Bombyx mori: one gene and its partners. The protein of the gene in region 2 purifies or fractionates together with the protein of the main gene of each other region. This does not show direct contact. Links are inferred from orthologs where the notes say so. Each region holds a gene or a part of one and is shown on either strand. Other genes may lie near its edges.

The links.
Region 1: the proteins of mitochondrial intermembrane space import and assembly protein 40 (region 2) and Tim10 purify together in Homo sapiens (co-immunoprecipitation; 4 studies listed by BioGRID and IntAct, with this or other methods). This does not show direct contact. The link is inferred for Bombyx mori from reciprocal best matches to the Homo sapiens genes CHCHD4 and TIMM10.
Region 3: the proteins of mitochondrial intermembrane space import and assembly protein 40 (region 2) and FAD-linked sulfhydryl oxidase ALR purify together in Homo sapiens (co-immunoprecipitation; 3 studies listed by BioGRID and IntAct, with this or other methods). This does not show direct contact. The link is inferred for Bombyx mori from reciprocal best matches to the Homo sapiens genes CHCHD4 and GFER.
Region 4: the proteins of mitochondrial intermembrane space import and assembly protein 40 (region 2) and cytochrome c oxidase assembly factor 7 homolog purify together in Homo sapiens (co-immunoprecipitation; 3 studies listed by BioGRID and IntAct, with this or other methods). This does not show direct contact. The link is inferred for Bombyx mori from reciprocal best matches to the Homo sapiens genes CHCHD4 and COA7.

The regions. Positions count from the first base shown.
Region 1 is NC_085130.1:5,898,555-5,904,273, forward strand, and holds Tim10 (mitochondrial intermembrane space translocase subunit Tim10), read right to left. Parts: upstream 4,011-5,719; 5' UTR 3,881-4,010; intron 3,024-3,880; 5' UTR 2,861-3,023; intron 2,523-2,860; 5' UTR 2,480-2,522; coding exon 2,338-2,479; intron 1,521-2,337; coding exon 1,381-1,520; 3' UTR 1,322-1,380; downstream 1-1,321. Other genes in the region: GPI mannosyltransferase 1, read left to right, coding at 1-91.
Region 2 is NC_085131.1:14,549,567-14,555,425, reverse strand, and holds the start of mitochondrial intermembrane space import and assembly protein 40, read right to left. Parts: upstream 3,368-5,859; 5' UTR 3,171-3,367; exon of another isoform or gene 2,922-3,170; intron 2,330-2,921; exon of another isoform or gene 2,282-2,329; intron 2,142-2,281; exon of another isoform or gene 2,132-2,141; 5' UTR 1,897-2,131; intron 809-1,896; 5' UTR 802-808; coding exon 569-801; intron 221-568; coding exon 10-220; 3' UTR 1-9.
Region 3 is NC_085117.1:20,075,923-20,081,687, reverse strand, and holds FAD-linked sulfhydryl oxidase ALR, read right to left. Parts: upstream 3,427-5,765; 5' UTR 3,171-3,426; coding exon 3,060-3,170; intron 2,902-3,059; coding exon 2,708-2,901; intron 2,017-2,707; coding exon 1,854-2,016; 3' UTR 1,280-1,853; downstream 1-1,279. Other genes in the region: histone-lysine N-methyltransferase E(z), read left to right, coding at 1-54; cytosolic Fe-S cluster assembly factor nubp1, read right to left, coding at 4,675-4,706.
Region 4 is NC_085134.1:3,289,665-3,295,251, forward strand, and holds cytochrome c oxidase assembly factor 7 homolog, read right to left. Parts: upstream 3,267-5,587; 5' UTR 2,985-3,266; coding exon 2,600-2,984; intron 1,631-2,599; coding exon 1,263-1,630; 3' UTR 1,189-1,262; downstream 1-1,188. Other genes in the region: Mtap (5'-methylthioadenosine phosphorylase), read right to left, coding at 393-568, 3,267-3,290. UniProt on the Homo sapiens protein: Required for assembly of mitochondrial respiratory chain complex I and complex IV.

The DNA of each region.
Region 1 (5,719 bases), on a different chromosome or scaffold from region 2:
TGTTTTTATACTGACGCAGCTTATAAAGTACTACCGCCCCGGCTACGCATTCGGGATAAACGAATCTGGCAAAGGAATAAAAGAGAAATGAATTGTTTTTTTTTTTTTTCGTTTATTGTTTTGAGAATCATGACCTACACTAATTTTGTTAAAAGCTTAATTCTATCAAATTGATAGCCTTTCGAATTTTAAAAAACTTAGTGTAAGTACATACCGTTTTAGTAGATTCATAGTTTGTTTTGTCTTGTAGATAGGTTTGTTTTTTTTTTGTTTTAAATAAAACACGTTTGTTGCATTTATTCATTTGTTTTATTTTTTAATAACTATCTAACAATTCAACCTAAACATATAGTCCACGCTAATTAACAAAAAAAATGCATTTCAATAAGAGAATTCCTTAATTAGCATAACATTCAGAATTCTGAAACGCGGTCTCCGCATTGTTTGTAAACGTTACTTTTGTAAGCTTTGACTTACGACAAATCAATTCAGCTTTTATCACGATGAAATTTAAAAGCATAAATTTAATTAAGTTTCGTGTTCACGTAAGACATTCCAGCATATTTATAAAAAAACATGTCCCACGTGTCCTGGTGAAACTGGAAAGGACTCCGGGCCACCAGTAATCTTTCAATCATAAAAAAATTTAAAAAAAAAAATTTACAGTTTATGGCTGATTGATCTTGAAAAACATGAACAGTATTAAATTATGATTAAAAAAGAATGCTAATAAAATTTGTTTGTTCATTAAACTCTATGGTCGTTTCATTCGGTAACCGCTAGTTTCTGTCTTAAAATTTACATAATCCTACTTTTTATGCATTACAGTACAGTGTATTACAGTATCTTTAAAATATTGTCGAGCTGTGAGAGTACCATAGAGGGTAGTGTAGAGATAAATAAACATAACTTTTTTGAATAGCCGTATGAAGTAACAACACTGGACAGAGCTTTGAACTAATTATGAAAATAAACTAGTTTTAGAAAAATAGTTTTCATAGAAGTAGGCAAAATAATTGCACCAATTGCGTTTCAGCCAATGTTTCAGTTACAGAACCGGTTATAAAAATTTGAATTTTGAACTACACAGACAAAATTGAGTAACATTATTTCCCAAACGTCACAAGTGAAGCACTGCCCTTGTTAGGGTAGATGACCAAGGTAGCATAATCTCTCGAGATTACTAGTGATAGTAGATTGTTTTCTCATAGTGAAGTACTGACATAATGGCAGAATTAATATTATATATAGAAAGACTACTTCACCTATATATTACTGCAAATTTTTCACAACAAAATATCTCAAATCTGCAGATGTCTTGTACTGGTCACTGTGAAAAATCTAGCAACTGATTGATTTGTCGTGAGTAGTAGCTTCGTACTATTTTTTGTCTGGTATGTTGACCTTTGTGAGATCTTCGGTTTCTCCTTGTGACATATTGGAAAGTTTCTTACCTATGCGTTCATGTACGTCCAAGTATTTGGCTACACAGCGATCTAAACATACAGATTCGCCTTTTCCTGTAAGAAGAGAAGATCATGTTCAAAATTAACTCATCCTATATAAGCGAGGCAATTAAATCTCTTAAATACTTGTATCTATTTTAAAAGCATATGCTACATCAGTTTTCTAAATATCACCTATCTTTATATCATCTATATATTTTTGTATTTGTAGATGTCCTGTAACAGTGTATAACCCTAAAGCTTAGCTTATAATAATAATTATAAACTATAGGTCATAAACTTCATAAGTGTGATGGCTTAAAAAGAAACAAATGGACATTGAAGGTCATAATTATCTTTCTTTTCTTTTTTATTGCTTAGATAGACGGCCCACCGGGTGTTAAGTGGTTACCGGAGCCCATAGACATCTAGAACGTAAATGCCGCCACACACCTTGAGACATGAGTTGTAAGGTGTCACTTTTAACAGTACAGCTGCCCCGCCCTTCAAACCGAAACGCATTACTGCTTCACGGCAGAAATAGGTGGGGTGATGGTACCTATCTGAGTGGGCTCACAAGACGTCCTACCACCAGTAATTATGCAAATTATAATTTTGCGGGTTTGATTTCTATTACACTTTTTATTTGATATTATTCGTTCATCATGGAAGTCAATCGCGAACATTTGTTAAGTATGTATTTGATTGAAAAATTGGTAACTACTGGTGGGATTCTAACACCGATGCATCGCTACATACGAATTCACCGGACGTCTTATCCTTTAGGCCACGACGACCACAGTTTAATAAACCATTTGTGTGTCACAATGAATACAATTTTGAAGGTCCCTATAATTATAATGTTCGCCATATTTTTTTTTGCCTGGCTTACCTAATTCAGGTTCATGATATTTAATTGGTATGCACTTCCGGTGACATGCGCTCACCAAGCGGTTGTACATGTCGGACATCATCTCAATCTCCAGTTCCTGCACCAATTGCAGCTTTGCAGGGTCTAGCTGCGGTACTGCCATCTTTACGTTTTAACTAAGTAATGTTCAATGGTATATCTGGAAACTACAGTAGATTAAAATATTTTTTAGTTACATTCATACACTGTATACAAATTTTTTTCTTAGTTAGTCGGACGAGATCACAGCCCACTTGGTGTTAAGTTGTATCTGGAGTCCAGACATTTACAACGTAAATGCCGCCACCCACCTTGAGATATGGGTTCAAAGCTCTCACTATAGTTAGGACGACTGCCCCAATCTTCAAACCGAAACTCATTACTGCTCCCGGTAGAAATATGCAGGGTGGTGGTACCTAACCATGAGGACTCACATGAGGTCCTATCACCAGTTAATTTAGTGTTACTCACCAGTATTTTCTAGAGTTACTAGAGAGATACTCACATTATAATGAATTCAAGTTCACAATTTCCGATACAAGTCAGGGTATTCTCCTTGATTAGATCTTCGCATGCGTTCTCTTGCTTTCATATTCTCAACACGCTGAGTATTAATGTAGTTCTTCGCCACCACGAATAATGATAAACTTGCTGTTGTTATTGCTAACCTGAAATTAACACCGATCCTGGGTTAAAACATCCTCTCTCTGCTAATGGGTCTGGAACATTTGTGAAACGTGTAACATAAAATAACTAAGCTTAATTAATAAAATCATACTACATCATACACGTTGATACTAATGGTATAAATTAAAAAGTGTGCTTGTCTGTCTTTAATTCACTTTAAAATGAAGCAATAAATTAACATGATTTTTTTGACATAGTTTTAGGTCAGGAGATTTTTATTCCAAAAAAACATCTCATACCCACAGGAAACTAAATTGACACATTTCTATAACGCCACAGGCGAAACAGCCGATAACAGCTACTTATCTCAGAAACTAGACTTATCAAGTTTTAATTAAGTTAGAATCCACAAAATATGCATATAAAATCCACTAGTTTTAATCTAAATGCATAAACGTGAGTTCAAATTCATTTAGAATACAGATTCGTCTTGTATTTGCGTAGTAGTATAAGGTAACATAGACTATAAGTAATTTCCAAAATAACTGAATCGCATTAACAACATTTCCAAGATAAGTATGCATATTTACAAAAGATCGTGGGTCTACCCTAGAAATGAAACCCGCTTGCTCGAAGATCTTCGCTTTTAACGTTTATTCCAAAGTTATGACGTTATTTTTGATGGATTTCTTGTGGCTGAAGACACATGAGAGTCAAGGTTGTGGAGTATATAACTTAATTTTCATGTTTTCTTATTAATAAGTAATAAAAGGCGAGCATAATAATACGCTGTGATAGGTAATTGACTTATCTTGTAGAATTATATTTACACAAAATAGAACTTGGCTAAATAGACGAATGATGAAATGAGTAAAATCGAATTTAATTCTGCGCTCACCAACGAAAGGTAAATCAAAAGTAAGCTGGTGATAAACTTGGGTATATCTTATTTAGTTATTTACCACGAAAGAGTAATTTTTCCAAATTTTCCAAGCGGCATACTATGAAATTTTGGAATTGCTTTTACAACTTTAAGGTTACGTTTTAGTACCAATTTTTAAAACGTTATGTCACAGCCGGATGTCGCTATGTGATCGTATGATTGTAAAGAAATATTGCAGGCGCGTATCGACTAAAAGGAGGAACATTACATAGGAACGGGTTTTTATGAAAAATCTGCTATATTAATTATATTATACATAAATTAACTATTAAATTAATTAAATAATAAAATTATTAATTATAAATTAAACTTTGTGAACTTTTTGGTATAAAATTTTTTGAGCTAAGCTTACAGATTTCCAATGTAGAGATTAATCTGCCATAATAGAGTACATAAATATAAATTAGACACAAGATTCGTTTAAACTTAATATTAATGAGAAATTTGAGGAATTATTAGAATCATCAGCGGTCTTCCCTGGCAAACATTTTTTTTCTTCAAAATATTTGTCTATGTTAAGCCCGGACGGAAATACTCATTCGTATCGGTTGGGCCGGTTTATTTGATAACACGTACAGAAGAGAATTAATTCGAACGATTCATCAAACTATTGGCATAATGCGAAGTTTAGTTTTTAATACCTTTAATCTATCTTCTATCTATCTTATCTTATCTTATCGTATCTTATATATATATAAATGAATTGCTGTTCGTTAGTCTCGCTAAAACTCGAGAACGGCTTGACTGATTTGGCTAATTTTGGTCTTGAGTTATTTGTGGAAGTCCAGAGAAGGTTTGAAAGGTAGATAAATATGAAAATGCTTGGAATTAAATAAAAATAACAATTTGTTTTTCCTTTGATGTGTCCCCCGTCGGACGGACTCCTGCTGTTTGTTTTAAGTTTATTTTATACAAAAGTTTAGGTCTTTTATTTAACGATTGAAGCACTACGAGGTCTGCCGGGTCAGCTAGTCTAAAATAAAAATCTATCGCATTGCATATATTGTACAATAATAAATAAATAAAATAGTCACCGGGACAGTCTGTATCAACCATAGACAATAAACTGGTGCCGGCAGGAATGACAATGTGCACCCGATCTAAATGCTACTTAATTATCTATGCTATAAATTTGTTTTCAGTTTTTTCCAAGTTAGTGTCCTCTGTTGACTTGGTTTCGTTACTACAAAGAGAACGTTACATACATCCGTTATTATAATAATACACAGATTACACTTCATCAAAACTTCTCTGGAATTAACAAAGTTTCAAAACGTGGCGATATAAAATATCATAAATAAAATGCCTAAACCAACAAGATTGCACAATAAAGGCAAATCGACATCTTTACAGAAACCTTGTAAAATTGATAAACATGAGTCCGAAGGTGTAGACCCCGAGGAATCGTTACGACAGTTTCAGCTCGAGTTATGTTGGTGTATCCAACAGTTAGAGCGAACTTTAAATGAAAAGAAAGGAAACGAAAAACAATGTGAGTTTTAAAATAAGACAAATTAAAAAAAAAATTATCCAATTTAGCGATGTTCGAGTTTTAAAAAATACGCTACATCAAAATATCAAAATACGTGCCTTCATAAAAAAGTTCTTAATTTAAAATTCTCGATTTGCACGGTACCTACCCTCCTACTAAATTTGCAATATCCATTTGACTTTGATTTCAGTGCAAGAAACATGGAAAGTCTTAACTGTACTGAAAAACAATAATCAGCCGATTATAAGGAAGAGACAATTAATGAGGACACATTTCGGTGATTATCGAGCTAAAATGGCTTC
Region 2 (5,859 bases):
GCGTGTAGGTCAGTGAGGTTCCTCAGTGGCGTTGTTGTCAGTAGTAGTGGCAGGGGCAGGGGCAGTGGCAGTGGCAGGGGCGGTGGCAGTATCGGAGCCGGCGAGCGCCTCTGCGAGTTCGTCGTCGTCGTCGCGACCGTACAGGTCGGGGTACTCCGCCATACACTGTTGCATCACGCTGAACTTCTCGTAACAATCGCTACCCTTTGGGTCCGCCTCACTGTACAGAAACAACACATGTAGTGCAACCTGTAGTCTCTGCACATGCTCAGACAAACGACAGTTCACGTTTCTTGTAAAGTTTATGTAATAGTTGCGAGAGCCACTGGATTCAGAACACTTCAGCAACAGGGCCTGAGTGCAAGTGATACTAGCGAGCTCGGGGTTCCAGTTGCTGGACTGAGCAACCCTCATTATTACAGTTCGTATGTTCTACAGTAAACAAAAGATGTCATCATTTGGAAAATACAGACATGCATTCTTTCAAAGGATGTATGGTAGTTGTCTTTTGAATTGTTGGAAAAGATAGTGAGCTGAAATATATTGATCAAAGAATTGAAATACGAACCTGTAATGAAAGCAGGAAAATGCCTCACGGAACTGTATCCCACAAGGACCAGTGGCCATACCCCCAAGACATGGACATCCCCAATTGATGGAACCATCTGCCAGAATGAGGCCAGGTGTCGGTTCAGGGTCCGGGAGTGATACTCTACTTGGTGTAGACAACTCTTCGCGTGATGCTACAATCACTATATCTTTGTTGCCTGACCCAGCAGGTAGAATTGATGGAGACGACATGTTGTATCTTAAAAAAAAAATCAATACACAGGTTATTATGATACTTATTACAGCATATTGCATCCACTTTAAATACATTTGTACTGCCTGATATACAATTTGCTACTTAATTGTGCCACAAAAGGAGCATTCTAGTTTAAAGGGTGGAACAGCCATTATACCCTAAAATTGAGATTTACACCTCATCCCTAAAGATGTGTTCAAACCAGGTTGACTGTGAGTTTATTTGCCTTTCTATGAAATGACACAGGCTTTATACAAATGTTCATGACTGGCTTCCAGGGTGAAGGAATAACATCGTGTAATAAAAATCAAACCTGCAACATTATAATTTGCGTAATTACTGGTGATAGGACCGCTTGTGAGTCTGCGCCGGTAGGTACCACCACCCTGCCTATTTCTGCCGTGAAGCAGTAATGCGTTTCGGCTTGAAGGGTAGGGCAGCCGTTGTAACTATACTTGAGACCTTAGAACTTATATCTCAAGATGGGTGGCGCATTTACGTTGTAGATGTCTATGGGCTCCAGTAACCACTTAACGCCAGGTGGGCTGTGAGCTCGTCCACCCATCTAAGCAATAAAAAAAACTGCCAGAGACTTTCTATTGTTTTTCTGATGTCATTTGATTATTGCTTGTTTAATTTCTTTTCCTATTTTCCAAGTTCCATAGTTTCTTTTCTTTGAAACTTTGAAAGCTTTGAAGTTTCGCTGTGCTTCTATTATTATTCAATGTTTATCTATACCCATTATTACCTCTCTGTTTGGCAGTTTTATGCTGTCAGTTTTTTTCTTGAAAAAACACTATCGTTGTTAAGCAGCCAGGTAACAAGGATGCACATTTGGCACAAGTGATAATTTGAGTGTAGTTCAAAGTTTATTCATTTCTTTGGGTGTTGAACAATACAAGGCACTCAATGAGCATGTAATATATAAAAATATTTTCATATCTTGAATATGAAGAATGAATTTAAGGGCATAAAGTATGCTTTTTAAATATCATCCTAAATTCTAGCAAATAAATAATTTGTTAAATCCCTACAATATGAAATCAAGATTGTGACTTATGTAAGATTATGTATTTAACTGTGACACTCACTGCCTATACAAGTGCCTGTAGTGAAGGAGACACCTTATGCACTCGTAACTGGGTAGTTACTGTAAGAGCAGCCCAGACTTTCCTGAACTCCGTGCTATTTACTCGCAATACAGCTGTCTTGTCTTGCACTGATAGCACATCCACAGGTATCGAGCCCCCCACTTCACCAAACAATGTCTTGCACGCTTCTTCTACCAAACGCCGTAGTGATAATTCACTCTGTGCACTGTTACACCTACAAGTAACTAAAATTATTTCTAGTTGACTAGTCTAAATAACTAACAGATATATTTTATTTTATAGTGTTGCTAACTTATACAATTTACCCCTCATATCAAAATTTGATATACAAAAATTCAAAAAACTACTATTGCAACAAATTAACATTTGTTCAATACAGTCTCGTGTTAAGCCACCTTGGTCAATGGCAAACCTATAAATACAGCAAATATCATTAAAATTGATGTAGTGTTGAGCAGTGCAGTAGATGTACTTTAATCGGCATTGTACTTAAAGTAATACTGGGGAGACAGAACAGAAAGATTAACATTAATTAAGACAGATTAACTCAAATTTTGGTATACTTATTAAGGACTGATGACAATTCAATATTAAAAAAATATTGAAAAAAATCAAATTTAACTAAAAAATGAACAATAAATAATAGTTTAAAAAAACTAACAAAATATGCTTTTATAGAAAATCCAACTAAAAAATAGAAAATAAATTTAAATAAATTTGAATTTGAAATAGTGTAAAAAAATTGTGGGGTGCATGGTATCAGTAGTTATAAATATTTTATGAACATATATGAGTAGAAGGGTTATTTTGATAATATCCTGAAAAGCAACCCACGCTTTTTTTTTTTACAATAATATCATTTTTTCTTACACTATTTTAAATTAAAATTTATTAAAATTTATTTTCTATTTTTTTGTTGGATTTTCTTTAAAAGCGTATTTTGTTAGGTTTTTTAAACTATAATTTTTTTATTCAAGATTCTGATTCTTTAGTTGTGTACTAACTGATGGATAAATCGTGATTGCCACTTACTCAACTTGGAGGTAAAAGAATTGAGGCAACATTCGCTTTACACTAAATTCAGAGACGCCCTGAATTTTTTTATTGAAATAAAACTGATCACAATGTTATGTATCCCTATTTCATTTCTAAAATGTTGATTTATATCTGAACGTTGAAGTGACAGTTGACATTATTTATTTTTATAGGTTATTAGCCTTTTTTTTAATAAGTTCGACAAAGAATTTACTCACATTGTCTATGATAAGGACTAAAAAGAACTGTTGTTGTGCTAACATTTTTGCTGGTGATAGGGCGTCTTGTGAATCCACACAGATAGGTACTTAGGTACCACTAGGTAGTATCTAGGTACATTACTGCCGTTACCGTTGTATTGGAGTGTTGTAGGTGAAATAAAATAGAACTGTTCAAGTCGACAATTCATGTAATTCTGTCACAATTTAGTGTGTGCAGTTACAAATATAAGGTTAGGCGAGTTGCACACTACACCGTACTAATAATACGTTTGGGCTTAAAGGATGGGGCAGCCGTTCTGTAAAACTGGGACTTAGAAATCAGATATCGAGGTTTTTTTTTATTACCCTTATAGGCAGACGAGCATACGGCCCACCTGATGGTAAGTGGTTACCGTCGCCCATGGACTTTAGCAATGCCAGGAGCAGAGCCAACTCGCTGTCTACCGTTAAATACTCTCCACAAGCCTTGTGTGAAGAAGGATGTGTCATAGCGCTCGGGAAACACCGTGGAGCGGACCTCATTCCAAAGCCGGATGGTACGTGGCAAAAAAGATCTCTGGAAGTGCACTGTGGATGAACGCAGTGGCTCCAGGTAGTATGGATGAACTCTACTCCGGTGGCGGGCGGTCCGATGGTAAAAACGAGATGATGGTATTATCTCAAACAATTCCTCAGATGTTAGAGGAACAGAGTTCGTGGGAGGCCATGGCCAGGTTTTCCTACCTGGTCATAGCGTTCCATGAGGCGGAGGAGCGCGAAAGGGTCCCTCTACGGCTCCTCAGCGTATAAGCGGGGAGGGAAACGCGGGCGCGAGGCCCCTGCTCGGCCCCGTAGGGGCTGTCGAGTGCCGGGTGCGGAGGTGTCCGGCGGTACTCAACGGTTAGTCCGGTGGTGAGGCAGTGCAAGGTGGCTCTTGTGCACTGCCCACGATGTGTCTCCTGAGATCCGACGTCCTTCAGGATTTTCCCGGGGTTGAAATCCCGTCCTATCATCAGGATAGGGGCTGTCGGATACCGGCGAAGGCGGACTTTCGCCGCGCACTATGCTTCTTCTAGCTGGTGTGGTGTAGCTCGATGGGATTTAGTCGGTAGTCATAGCTTTTTTCAAGGCTTAGTCTCCTGAGAGGAATTGGAGGAGGAGGAGGACTTCAGCTTTCCTCTTTTAACTCTTCTTATTTGGAGACGCCGGAGTGCGACATAACCCGGTCTGTTACCCCCTTCAACCGGGAATTCGCAAACGGATTACCCAGCGATAAAAATATGGCTTAGTAACCGAAGGAAATATTCGTATTTATAATTTTAGCTTTGTTGTTGTGATTAAAACCAAATGTGTTTGTAAAACAGAAGTAGCTGTCATTTTCGGATTGGATCATAAACCAGTGGATTGGATAGTTAATTTCCTCCATTTCATTGCCATATTAAAATTCGAAGACCTGTTTCCACCTGAAGCCCAGGAGCTTAGATTTCTTCTACATCTTTTACAAGATACGTGAAGAACCCACTTTTTGTTTTGACCGATATTTTAAAATAACAACAATACTTTTTTGAGTTATGTAATTCCATTAAAGGCTGTCCCGTTTTAGACTGAGTTCACTATAAATTTAACAAAAACGACCCCAGTTTTACTTTACACAACCTTTTTGGCATACAGCTAGCGCCATCTATGAGTCATCGTTGTCAACACATGCAACATGTTATGAAACAATGCGGTAATGTTGAATATTGGAACCGTTAGAGGGCAATATGATTTTTGAACCCAGAATAACAGTTCTAAAAGCAATGCTATTTATCGTTTAAAAATAGTTAACTAATAGGCAGCTTTAATTACAAATTAAATGAATCTGTGAAATTGGTTCATAAAAGGCGTCTTGTTAGTCCCGTCTCTGAGGTTCTGTAGGTTGGGTATGTTACGGCAAGTGAGTGGCCTAGCTACAACCACATGTTCTGTGGGACATTTATTTTATTTATTTAAACTTTAAAATGCACTTTATGTTGCTCACTGAGTTTCTCGCCGGATCTTCACAGTGGTAGATTCTGTGAAGCACTGCTCTTGCTAGGGCCAGTCTTAGCACTCCGGGTTTGAGCCCCGTGAGCTCACCCACACGTCAAGGCGAAGCTGAAATAGCCTCTCAAGGCTATCAGCATCGGCAGAAAAAAAGCATTTGACGCAAATGACTCATTTGCGTCAAATGAATAAAATGAAAAAAATATGAAAAATGGGTGCCTCATGATTTGATTGGTCTGCAGAAAGAAACGCGTGTTGAAATTTGTGTTGCCTTGTTGAATCGATACAGAAATGAGGGAATATTAGATCGAATTGTGACATGTGATGAAAAGTGGATTCTTTACGATAACCGTAAGCGAAAAATGCAATGGCTGACTCCAGGTCAAACGCCGCAACAGTGTCCTAAAGCAAAGCTTACCAATTAAAAGGTAATAGTACCGTAAATCGATCTTCACTATTATTGCTCCATGATAACGCGAGACCTCATACAGCACGAGAAACCGTTTGAACTCTACAAGAACTGCAATTAGAAATCATTCGTCACCCTCCGTATTCACCAGACCTTGCTCCAATGGACTACCATTTTTTTTCGTGATTTGGACAATTTTCTACGTGAATAAAGTTTTCTTCCCGGGAGGAAGTGCTTTCACACAGTTTGTAGAATGTAGATTACCAGAGTTCT
Region 3 (5,765 bases), on a different chromosome or scaffold from region 2:
CCTACTGAGCAATTGAAATTCGTAGGAATCGAGAGAGAGATGGAGTTCTTATGAGAACAGTCCAAATAGCAGTCGCTCCAAGACTGCAGGACACTGAGAAAGTCAGTGTGAACTCTACTCACAGTTTCATTAGAATGTTATCTATGTGAAATTTGACATCTGAAGATAAGTGAACATGACAAGTGACATGTGGCATCTCATAATGTAACATTAATATTAAAACTCACGGTTTCTTGTACACCTGCCTGTGAGAGGTCACAGGTTTGAATTCTTCGCATGTCTTTTGTTTTTTTTGTAAATGTAAAGTAAGGTATGTCTTCTCAGTCGGCACACATTATAGATGAATTGGGAAGAGCATTAGACACGTCATGTTTAAATTAAATACCTGGCTAATTAATAATGAAATAATTTTATTGCATGAGATGTGGTAAAACCCGTTTCTCTCTTCTTCTTTAATAAATATGTAATAAAACCAAATTGTTTTTTATTTATTAAACCAAATACATATTTATAAATATATAATTAAATAATTTTTTATTTAATTTTGGTATACTATATTAAATGCTAATGAATGTAATATGGAATAGTATGGATGCAAAATCTAAAGTAAATGAAATAAATAAAAAATAAAATAGCTTGTGCGAATTTACAGCCCCACTTTGAGCTCACTGTATACAACATTCTTGGCGATTTTTAGCACCCTAAGCTGCTGTCACCATTCTCGTGGAATGCGACGAAGGGCTTAACGTACAACTTGACAGACAGTCTACAAAGTTTCTCAGCAGATCTTCCCAGTGGGTCACGATTGGGATCGGGTGGTAGATTCAGCAAAGCATTAATCTTGCTAAGGCTAGTGTTAGCAAGTTCTGTAAACTCACCCACCAAACCGGTGAAGCTGGAATAGCCTCTCGAGGCATCCAGCAATTAGGCGGACAAAAGGGAAGCAGAATACGGCTGGTGGCTGTGTAGCTCATTTTTCATTATGATAGTTTGTGAATTTATAATTGAATTTTATACAGAGGCTTTTAACATATATATCATTTTTGTATTTTTCATTTTTTGCCGTAATTATACTGAAACAGATATTAGTGGTCTTAAATAAGAATTTATATATGTATACCTATATAACCTTGTTGCAATTTAATTTTGCATTTAATGTTGCATTACTAAAATTTATAAGGGAATTGTGCCTTACAGTGGTGAAAGTAGAAGTGTAGGATACAAGCCTTATAATTATATTATGTTGAATAATGAAGGTTTTTTATATTAAATACCAATAAACCAGAACAAAAATGTATTTTACAAATAAATATTTCATATTTATTAAAATGTAAAAATTCACTATAAACATCACAAAAACATCTTAACATTGAATTGAAATAATCTCACTGACTACCAGATGAACATGTATTTCTCCACAGTAATAAACAGTATTATTTGAATGAACAAATCTAAAAAAATTCAAGACTTTTTTACTACAGAAATGCTAATGACGTTTCCTTATATTCAACTTGAGGGCAAAATTAATATTTGAGTCGACTATTATCAAAGGCGGCAATCTGACTTTTGGACAATGATTGGTAAATCAGAAAAACGAATTATTGACTTTGTATTCCATCGGCAGTCACAAAACTCTTCGGAACGACATCTTAGATAAATAACAGGTTAACTATTAACCTTTATTTAATGCAGGTTTTGAACCGTATTCTTTGAAGGAGACGATTATATTCAAATAAATCTGTATTGACATATCAATAAAATTTTGTTGTCCAAATGCACAGATTGCCGCCTTTGATAATAGACGACTCATGTGTTTCCCAAGTCAGAAATACTAGTTTTATCCTAATTTATTATTAATCACAGGAGCCATCTTTCCACCCATCTCTCCACCTCTCGTGAATTTTGCTACAGTCAAATAATGGTTTTCCAAGTTTTACATTCACAGTATTGTGTCTCTCACAGAGCCATTTTGCTAGTTCATCCCTTGATTTTGTCTTTGGTGGGTTCTTTTGTATGCTGAAAATTAGGAAAAATTATTTACTGGTAAAAAAGATCAAGTTACCAAGGTAGATAGCCAGGTTTTTTTAAAGTTAATTTTATAACAATTACATCAATTTCAACAAATAATTGTGGATTAGCTAAATCAGATTATTAAAAAAAAAGCCAAGTCTATTAGTTAAAACTTGTTTTTAAAATTTGTACATTAAAGATGTCTACCCAAAATGAGCACCTAGGTAAGTTAGCCAACTAGAAATACTATAAATAACTTATACAATACAATATGCCAAGCTATTGTTGATTGATTCTGAAACTGACATAAAAATGTTCATAACTTTTTATTGAACTAGAGAAAAAAGTCTTTGTAATCCATAATTTTTTATTTTGAGTTTGTTTTATATTGAAAACCACATTATAATGGAACATTATTTCTCTTTTAAAATAATTCATCATTAGTTACATTTTGATAAGAACTTAAATAAATGTAATATGTAACAAATCCTGTCATATCTTGCCTCGTAAAAATTAAGAATACCAAATTATCTAGCAATAACAATTTTAAAGCAGCTGTATTTAAATTTATGTAAATGAAAAGTAACAGATCAAATTACTGTTGGGTTTTTTTTTAAATATTTCCTTATAATCTTGAAAGAAGTTGAACTGAAAGATATTTTTTTTATTATTATTAGTACAGAAATAAAATGCTTACTCATCCAGAAAGTCCAAAGAACATGGTTCACATGGATAGAATTGGGCAAAAATATTAAAGAATCGTGACATATTTTCCGATTGTAATTTAGTTGGCTTGTCAGGAAAATATGAAGCCATCGAGTGGAGGAAACCCCATGTAGATTTACCTAATTCTTCTTTATCTAGAGGGCATTCCTTTGATTGAGGAGGAGGCTGTAATGTTAGGATTGAGAAATTTGAAGTTGAACAGAAAATTTCAATGCTTATGAATATTAAAAAAATCGCAACCACTATGTGTATATTTGCAATTAAGCAATATTTTTGAATTATAATTGATTAATGTTATCATAGCTGTTGCAACTTAACCTCACCGGTTTGGTCGGCGCGGTTTTTGAACCTTTGTTTTGTAGTTTTGCCCAAGTTTTGAAATCCGAACATGCTCTACAAGGTTTATCTTCTTCTTCCTCGTGGTGTGGAGGCATTTTTGTACTTATTTATTGCAGAAATACTCATGAAAATACAAATTATGTTGTGTAATAACGTAACTTGCCGAGAAGTATTTTCCTGGCATAAAAATAGTGTAATATCTTTTAACATATGACAGAATAATTTGTCAAATTAAATATCCATGTACCACATTTTATTTTATCAGTTTTCAAAAAGAATCTGAATGTTTTCTTTTTCGGGCCAAGTTAAAATGTCAAAATTGTCAAATGTTTATAAATTTGCAGAATTTGACACGTGACATTGACGTTGACCTATGACTTTTTTTTTATAAATTGTTTACGGCCGCTCGATAGTAAAATTTTCAGCCTAAGGTGGTGGTTTAATAATCTTCAATACCTACTAAATTATCGAATATAATTTTTCGTATGTCGTATCACTCTTGTCAGAGCGACCGTGGTCTTCAAACAGCATCATTACTGTGGGCAGATGCTATGCGCCTCACGAGCAATCGCCTTTCTTAGGTTTGTGGTGAGCTTGATACATTCATGTAAATAGCCGCCATTTATTAACTTGACGGACAATCTCATAGGCAACCCTCCCCGTGGTCTGGTACCTTCTACTTTGCCCTGAACGAAAAGGCACCCTCTAGAGTCATTTCCACACCGGGAGACATGTCCGAAAAATGATACTATGCGCCTATGTACGAGCGCTTAAAGGCGCTGATTAATGCAGAGTTCTTGAAGAGTGAAGATATTGTTTCGAAGCTCGGCCCATAAAATACCAAGCATTCGTCTCCAGCACCACATCTCCAAAGCATCGATCTTTTTTCAACCTGACGCAAGCGTTTTTTTTAATTGCTTATATGGGTGGACGGGCTCACAGCCCACCTGGTGTTTAGTGGTTACTGGAGCCCATAGACATATAAAACGTAAATGCGCCTCCCACTTTGAGATATAAGTTCTAAGGTCTCAAGTATAGTTACAACGGCTGCCCCAACCTTCAAACCGAAACGCATTACTGCTTCACGGCAGAAATAGGCAGAGTGGTAGTACCTACCCGCGCGCACTCACAAGAGGTCCTACCGTATAAAACCGTGCGTATAAAAATTAGGGGAATAACAAGAGTTCGTACGAGCCGGGACCTTGGTGATGTTTCTGTTCTTATATATACTTCTCAAAATTGAGCGCAAAAGCCAAGAGTTTTGATTAAAGCTTAAGCGCAGTAAAACCAAAATGATGATTGCAGACCGAGCCAAAACCAAACTTTCAAGATATCACTCAGATTACAAACAACTGCGAGGTCGTTCAATCCTTCATATACCTTGGAGGCTTGATATCGAACAATGATGGTTGTGTAAGTGAAGTAAAGCGACGTATGCTGAAGAAAATATTGTTAAATTTAAGCGTTAAATTAGGATAAATAAGAACACATTATGTACAGTAACTACTTATATTTACTTTATTATAATTGGGTATATGGTACATGGTATTTGAAACAAATTTAACGAACGGGAACTTAAGCGCAAGTTACTTTTGTTGCTTAGTTCGAGTTCTCACAGGCTGCTACGATTTCTGAAAAAAAGACGTTAATTAACAAGACCGCACGAGGTCGTCAGTGAGGTGGACCGACCAAATTAAAAATACATTGGGAGGTTCCCTAATTGAGTCCTGTAAGGAGCGGGTAGGGAGCAGGGAGAGACGGCGGAACATCGTGAGACGCCTCAAGTCTGTCCCCTCCAACACTACATGACGACTAAGAGCACTCCCTCATAAGTGACACGATTGGGAAGAAGAAGAAGAATTAATTTATTAATATAAAAATTCTTTTTTACTGTTAGATGTGCAGATGGGCTACAGGCCTTGGATTTCAGTGTTTACAAGCGACACAACAAGGTAAACGCTGCTGGTCACTTTTAAGTGAGATTTGATTTAATAAGTACCACGACTGCCCTACCCTCCAAACCAGGGGCCATGTATTGTTTTGTAACAGAAATAGGCAGGATAGCGATATCAACTCATACTGGTAATTCATCAGTACTCAGCATAAGGATTCGACTATACCGAAGTAATAGTTTGATTTGTGGACTTAAATCCCGACATTAGAACCATAGCTTTTGATACTTTTTACAGAAATCGCTTTGCACCGAATCAGTTGTATGGTGTGGTTTTTCTTTTTTTTTAGTATGTACGTGCTTTAGTATGTACTTATGTACGTGCTACCTAAGTACAATTTGAAAAGTTGCAGTCACCGATGTCCGACTTTATGACCCTAATATCGAGAAACGTTCCGGTATGCACGGCGATCCTTCCCGAAGTCGGAAAGTAAAGTAATACATTGATATTAATCTCGAACGGAATATTTGCGTGGCTTAGATTTACACAAGCCCGTCTCTTTCTGTAAGTGTGATCAGCAACATTTCCAGAATACTTCTATACCAGCACGACGCACTCGCTAGCCGCACTTACTGGTGGTAGGACGTATTGTGAACCTTCACGAACGGGTGGCGCCATCCTGGCGCGAGGCAATACGTTCGTTTTAAAGTAATTCGCTCCCCGTGGTGAAATGACTTTAAAAATCCTATCTGACCTGACGAGTTTTTCATCTTGTACGAACTTGGTGTTATTTTGAGG
Region 4 (5,587 bases), on a different chromosome or scaffold from region 2:
ACCCACCTTGAGATATAAGTTCTAAGGCCTCAAGTAACGGCTGCCCCACCCTTTAAACCGAAACGCATTACTGCTTCATGGCAGACATAGGCAGGGTGGTGGTACCTACTCGCGCAGAATCATAAGAGGTCCTACCACCAGTATTACGTTTAGATTACGTTTAGTTGGGTTAAAACTTTTAGAGATGTACATAATATGCGTAATTCTACAAATTGTAATTTAATTATTAACGGTTGGTAATTGAAAAATATTGATTGCTCGTGCATGCATTATATATTATATATTATATATAATGCATATATTATACTCCGACAATTGAAATCAGACGAGGGTCGGTATGTACGCTCAGCGCCAATGAAATCGTGATATATTAACTAAAGTTTATGACCAACCTAGGTTGAAGTTGATGTTTTCTGCCGTGTCGTGCCAGCAGAACGCATTGGACCCGTTTGATTTGACCCTCTATCAGTACGTCCGAGGGTCTCCCAAACGGTGTGACCACCTCCTTTTCGATTTGATTCTCGAAAAGCGTCGGATCATCGAAGCCCGAACCTCCGATAATTCCGATCTGTTTGAGAAAACGAAAAAGAAAAACACTTAAGCTGCAAATCCTGCAATGCGCTTATAGGTATCAAAATATGGTGTTAACCCTTTGCACTCGAGAGGTGAGTATCGTTCACCGTATGATTTAATTAGAAACGACAAAAATAATGTTAAGGACAGATATAAAAAACGCTAACAAGATGTCAGTCATCAAATAAAAACAAACTATCCGGTCATCGTTCTCGTCGATCCGACATCTGTCAAGGGTTCGGCAAGTAAATTAACAGACAAAGCCCACTGAGTTTCCCGCCGGATCTTCTCAGTGAGCCGCGTTTCCGATCCGGTGGTAGATTCTGCGAAGCACTGCTCTTGCTAGGGTCAGTGTTAGCATCACTCCGGTTTGAGCCCCGTGAGCTCACCTTCTAGTTATGGTTACGCTGAAATAGTATTTTAAGGCTATCAGCTTAAGTAGGAAATAAAAATAGGATGCATGCAAAATCTAGAAGACACTTACAAATAATAACGAAAACAACGTAAATATAACGAAAACATTCCAAGACCTCTTCAACCAATTCGATACATTCGAATTCAAATGTGTTCAGATAATTACGACAAAATTTTCATATTAAATAAAACAACATAATATTTATAATAATTTATTTTTAAACAATACACAAACGAATATTCTATTTGATTTTTAACAAGTATTTCATATAATACTATTTTCCATCCAAACCTTGTTGAAATTTAATCTCTTTCGTAGTTTCATGCGCCTTTTGCAAGCTCTGTGCAATTTCAAAGAATCGTTTTGATTCATCCTGGTTTTTCTCAACTCCGTCACCTTTTTTGTACATTAAACTGACATTGGCACAAGCAAACATATTACCTAATTCACAAGCTCTTTTCGCAAAACGGAACGCCTCTTTTTTGTCTGGTTTTATTAGATAATCTATGTTTTTATTTTTTTCAGGATTATGCGGGTTGAAATCCTGAACGTTTTTAGGTACACCAGTCAGATACATTCCGGAGAGGTAGTGGCACGCCATATCATCATTTTGATCGCAGCTCTTCTTGAGGCAGTTGTATCCTGAAATTGAATGATTCTATTAATGAACAGTGTTGTATTATTGTTGACAAAAATACCATATTTTTTTAAATATATTTTTGGAAAATTTTTTCTCTAACTATTTTCCCAGGATAAAAACACAAATTAAAATAACAGTATAGAAAAATAAATTGGCGTGGTGGGCAGTTTTTATAACACAAGCCAGCAGTTTAGAGCTTCAGTGCTATTGCTGTCACTATGTCCATTGACACAACTATTGGATCAATGACTCTTGAATTAACATGTCATATGGGAGAAACCTGTACTAATTTATCTTTTTTTGCCTTCATGAGGTTCTCGTTGTGGGGAATGTTGATATTAACCAATACTACTCGACGCACAGACCAATCTATAATCCTAATATCAGACTTATTACCAACAATAGGCCTGTTCATAATAATAAATTGGCCCTAGTAGAGTAGTATGGCCATATACAAAAACTTGTCAAGGTTGGTATTAGTGATAAGGTACATACAGCAGAATCAACACAACCAACACAATATTTCTATTTCAACATAATATGTCTAATTCTCTCATGGATGGTGACATGCCACGAACCTAACATGAAAATAAGACTCTGAAGTAACAGCTTCTATTTCCACTGAAGTAGCAGCTATATACATTAGAAGCATGATACGTACATAATTTTAATTTGCGTAATCACTGATGGTAGAACCTCTTGGGAGTCCACACGGGTAGGTACCACCACTCCGCCTATTTCCGCCGTGAAGTAGCAATGCGTTTCGGTTCGAAGGGTGGGGTAGCCGTTGTAACTATACCACTTAACCACTTAACACCAGGTGGGCTGTGAGCTCGTCCATTCATATAAGCAATAAAAAAAATAAAAATAAAACCTGAGTTAACGTTAAGACATTTATTCCTAAATTAAAATTGTTATCTGTGTCTATGAAAACTTTATGGTAATATCATGAATAATTAATATTGATTTACCTTTAGGGACATCCCTTTGTATGTTAACGCCCGGTCCAGTAGCCGTTAGCAGCATCCCGGCATGTAGACAAGCACCGGGGTCATTTAATTCGCAACCTTTTTCGAAATAAATTAGAGCTTCGGCCGGGTCACCCTTTTCCCTTCCCCTTCCTATTAATGTATAGTTACCTATTTTCAGGCATGACTTTCCGAATTTATATTCTAAACAATTACTTTTGTACACTTTAGCGGCCTTTTCGAAGTCTTTTTTGATAGCTTCTAGATAATCGGCTAGCAGATGACAAACTTCCGGTTTTTGCTCCTTATAACAACCGAAGCGATACTCTATTCCAATGTTTTCTATATAATCTTTGACTTCATCTTCTTTTTTTAAGTCATAAGCCATTTTGATTTATTATTTAAACGATTTCACGAGACCTTAACTTAAAAGGTTAGGGTTAGGTAACACATGAAATGTCAAATAGATAAGCTTTATCAGTTTATAAACAAAGCAGTACACCTACTCTTTTCATAAAATAAATGAAATAAGATCAACATTATTTTGTAGTAATTACAAATATAACTAAAGAAGAATTTGGATTGAAAAGGTTTATATGACCCAGACTTATAACATGTATAGGAATTGAAATTAGCTTTTTAAAATATAATAATTTAGTTTTTTACTTACCTTTATTTTTCTTACATCGCCCATATCGACGGAACTATTCAACACTATACACACCGATACAAGAACTTTCCTATTTCAGTTAAATAAGTAACCGCTTAAATTATGTGTTTACTTTTATAATTTATCTAATTAAGCACCGGAACTTCAGATTAATTAAAGTCAAACTCTTTGCCTCGAAGTGTGAGAATCGGGAACTGACCGGAAATATATATTTTTTACTAATATTTATTGGATTAGATTCTAGTCCTTTAGCAAAAAAAAATTGTCTGTATATTATGCTAAATGAAAAGTAAGACAGTGCGGGTGTAGTTGATATAATATGGGTTGAAATTGAATAAAGTAAAACGAAACTATTTCTAAGCTATATAGTAGGATTTTGCTGAAACTTGAACGGATTTTTCGTAAGAACCTGTTATAATTTCAAATGCTAAAACTCGTTCTGTTCAATCAATACATTATATTTGGACAAACGTTTTTCGAACAGCCATCCATAATAGTGAATACAACAAATTGGAATATTTCTTTTCGAGCAAATTACAGATTTTCATAACGGTCGATACACTGCTACTACTCAGTAGTTCAGTACACTATTTCACAAGCCCGCTGTACTTACTGTCTTGCTGGTCAGAAAGATTACAACACTAGCTTACTGTGGGTTCTTACTGCTGAGTATTATGTATATTAGTAACGGTGGCTTATTAACTGATTAATATCTGTGATAGTGCACAAATGGGGGAAAATGAAACAAAGCCACTGGACGTAACTACTCGAGTTCCTCCAAAAAGTCAACTGAAAAAATCTCAGTAAATGACTACCATTTTACTGAGATTATATTTCATTCCATATCATTTCATTTCATTTCATCCCAGTTGATTAATGTCTCAAATTAATCCTCTTCATTTCATTTCACTCCATATTATCATTTTTCATAAAAATAAGAATATAAATTAAAATAAGACATGACCTAAAGGTCTTAGTTACCAGGTCATAAAATCACTTAAAAAATAAAAAATAAATCAGCTGGTAAATGACAAATCAAAATGATTTATGAAATTTCAATAAATTGTTATTGTCTGAATTGAAACCTAATATCGGTATTCTGTATTTCTTTGTTTGTTGTTGTGTTGAATATAAGATTAAATTGTTCATCCTAAAAGAAAATGTCTGAACAAGATCTATTCACGACACGCATGAGAAAAGCGACTCGGAAAATACATTCTGTCAGCGATGCCTTGGTCAATGCGAAATTTGCGATATGTGAGCAAATAATACTATTAAACAATTCATTGCGCAGATTATAATCAACAACTAAAAAGTACTAGGAAAAATTTGGAAATTACCTTTCATTCTCATTGGAGGTTTTTGAGAATAAATCTCTTTTTTGCGAAAAAGTTATTTCTGATATTGAATTTAAAATATTTTATTACAGCGTTGAGAGACCATACAGTATGGGGTGGAGGCCTGTTTGTCTTCTACCATATTTTTGCATATCTTGAAGATGCAAAAGAGAGATTAAATATGCCAGAATTTAATAAGCTGTTTGTGCATGAAATTCTTTACAGGTACGATTTAGACACTTTATATCGAGTTTTTGGTACATTTTAAGTTACCATCGTAGTTTTATTGTGTATAATAATGAGGTTATTTATTAAAGATTAAAGAAATGTTTGATTAAGACTTGATTTAAAACAACATGTGATGAATTACAGATTTATAGTCTGTGGTTAAAAAACAGAAATCTCACCAAAACTAAAAAATTTACAATGAAACTTTTAAATATCTAAATAGTACAATGTTGTATAATAGATTGATATTTCACATTACACATACAATTTAATAATTGCATTGTTTAACTAAACATCAACATGTATTTGGCATGTTGACCCCCAAAAGAAAAAGAAGGCAGAGTGACAGTTAATTGTGTTGGTCCACTCACTAAAAATTAAGGTTACGCGGGTTTAGTATAGAAGGTAGTTTTACTGTTCTCTTTGCATGGCTCATGTCCATGCGTGAAGGTGATTACTTACAATCATGTGGGTTGACTGCTGCTGCTTACAAATCCAACAAAAAGTTGGGATGTCTGTTGTAGCTGTTATATGTTACTCTGTTTTTGAATAAAATAATCACTAATCATCACGACATGAGCTGCTTAACAAATACCATATATGTATAATATATAAAATGAATACTTTTTCAGAAAGAAGGCATTTGAGCAAGATCTGCAACACTACCTTGGTGACAACTGGAGGTCAATACCTAAATCCTTGGCTCTAGAGAACTATCTACAACATTTACAAGACCTGGAAAGAGACAATCCCAAG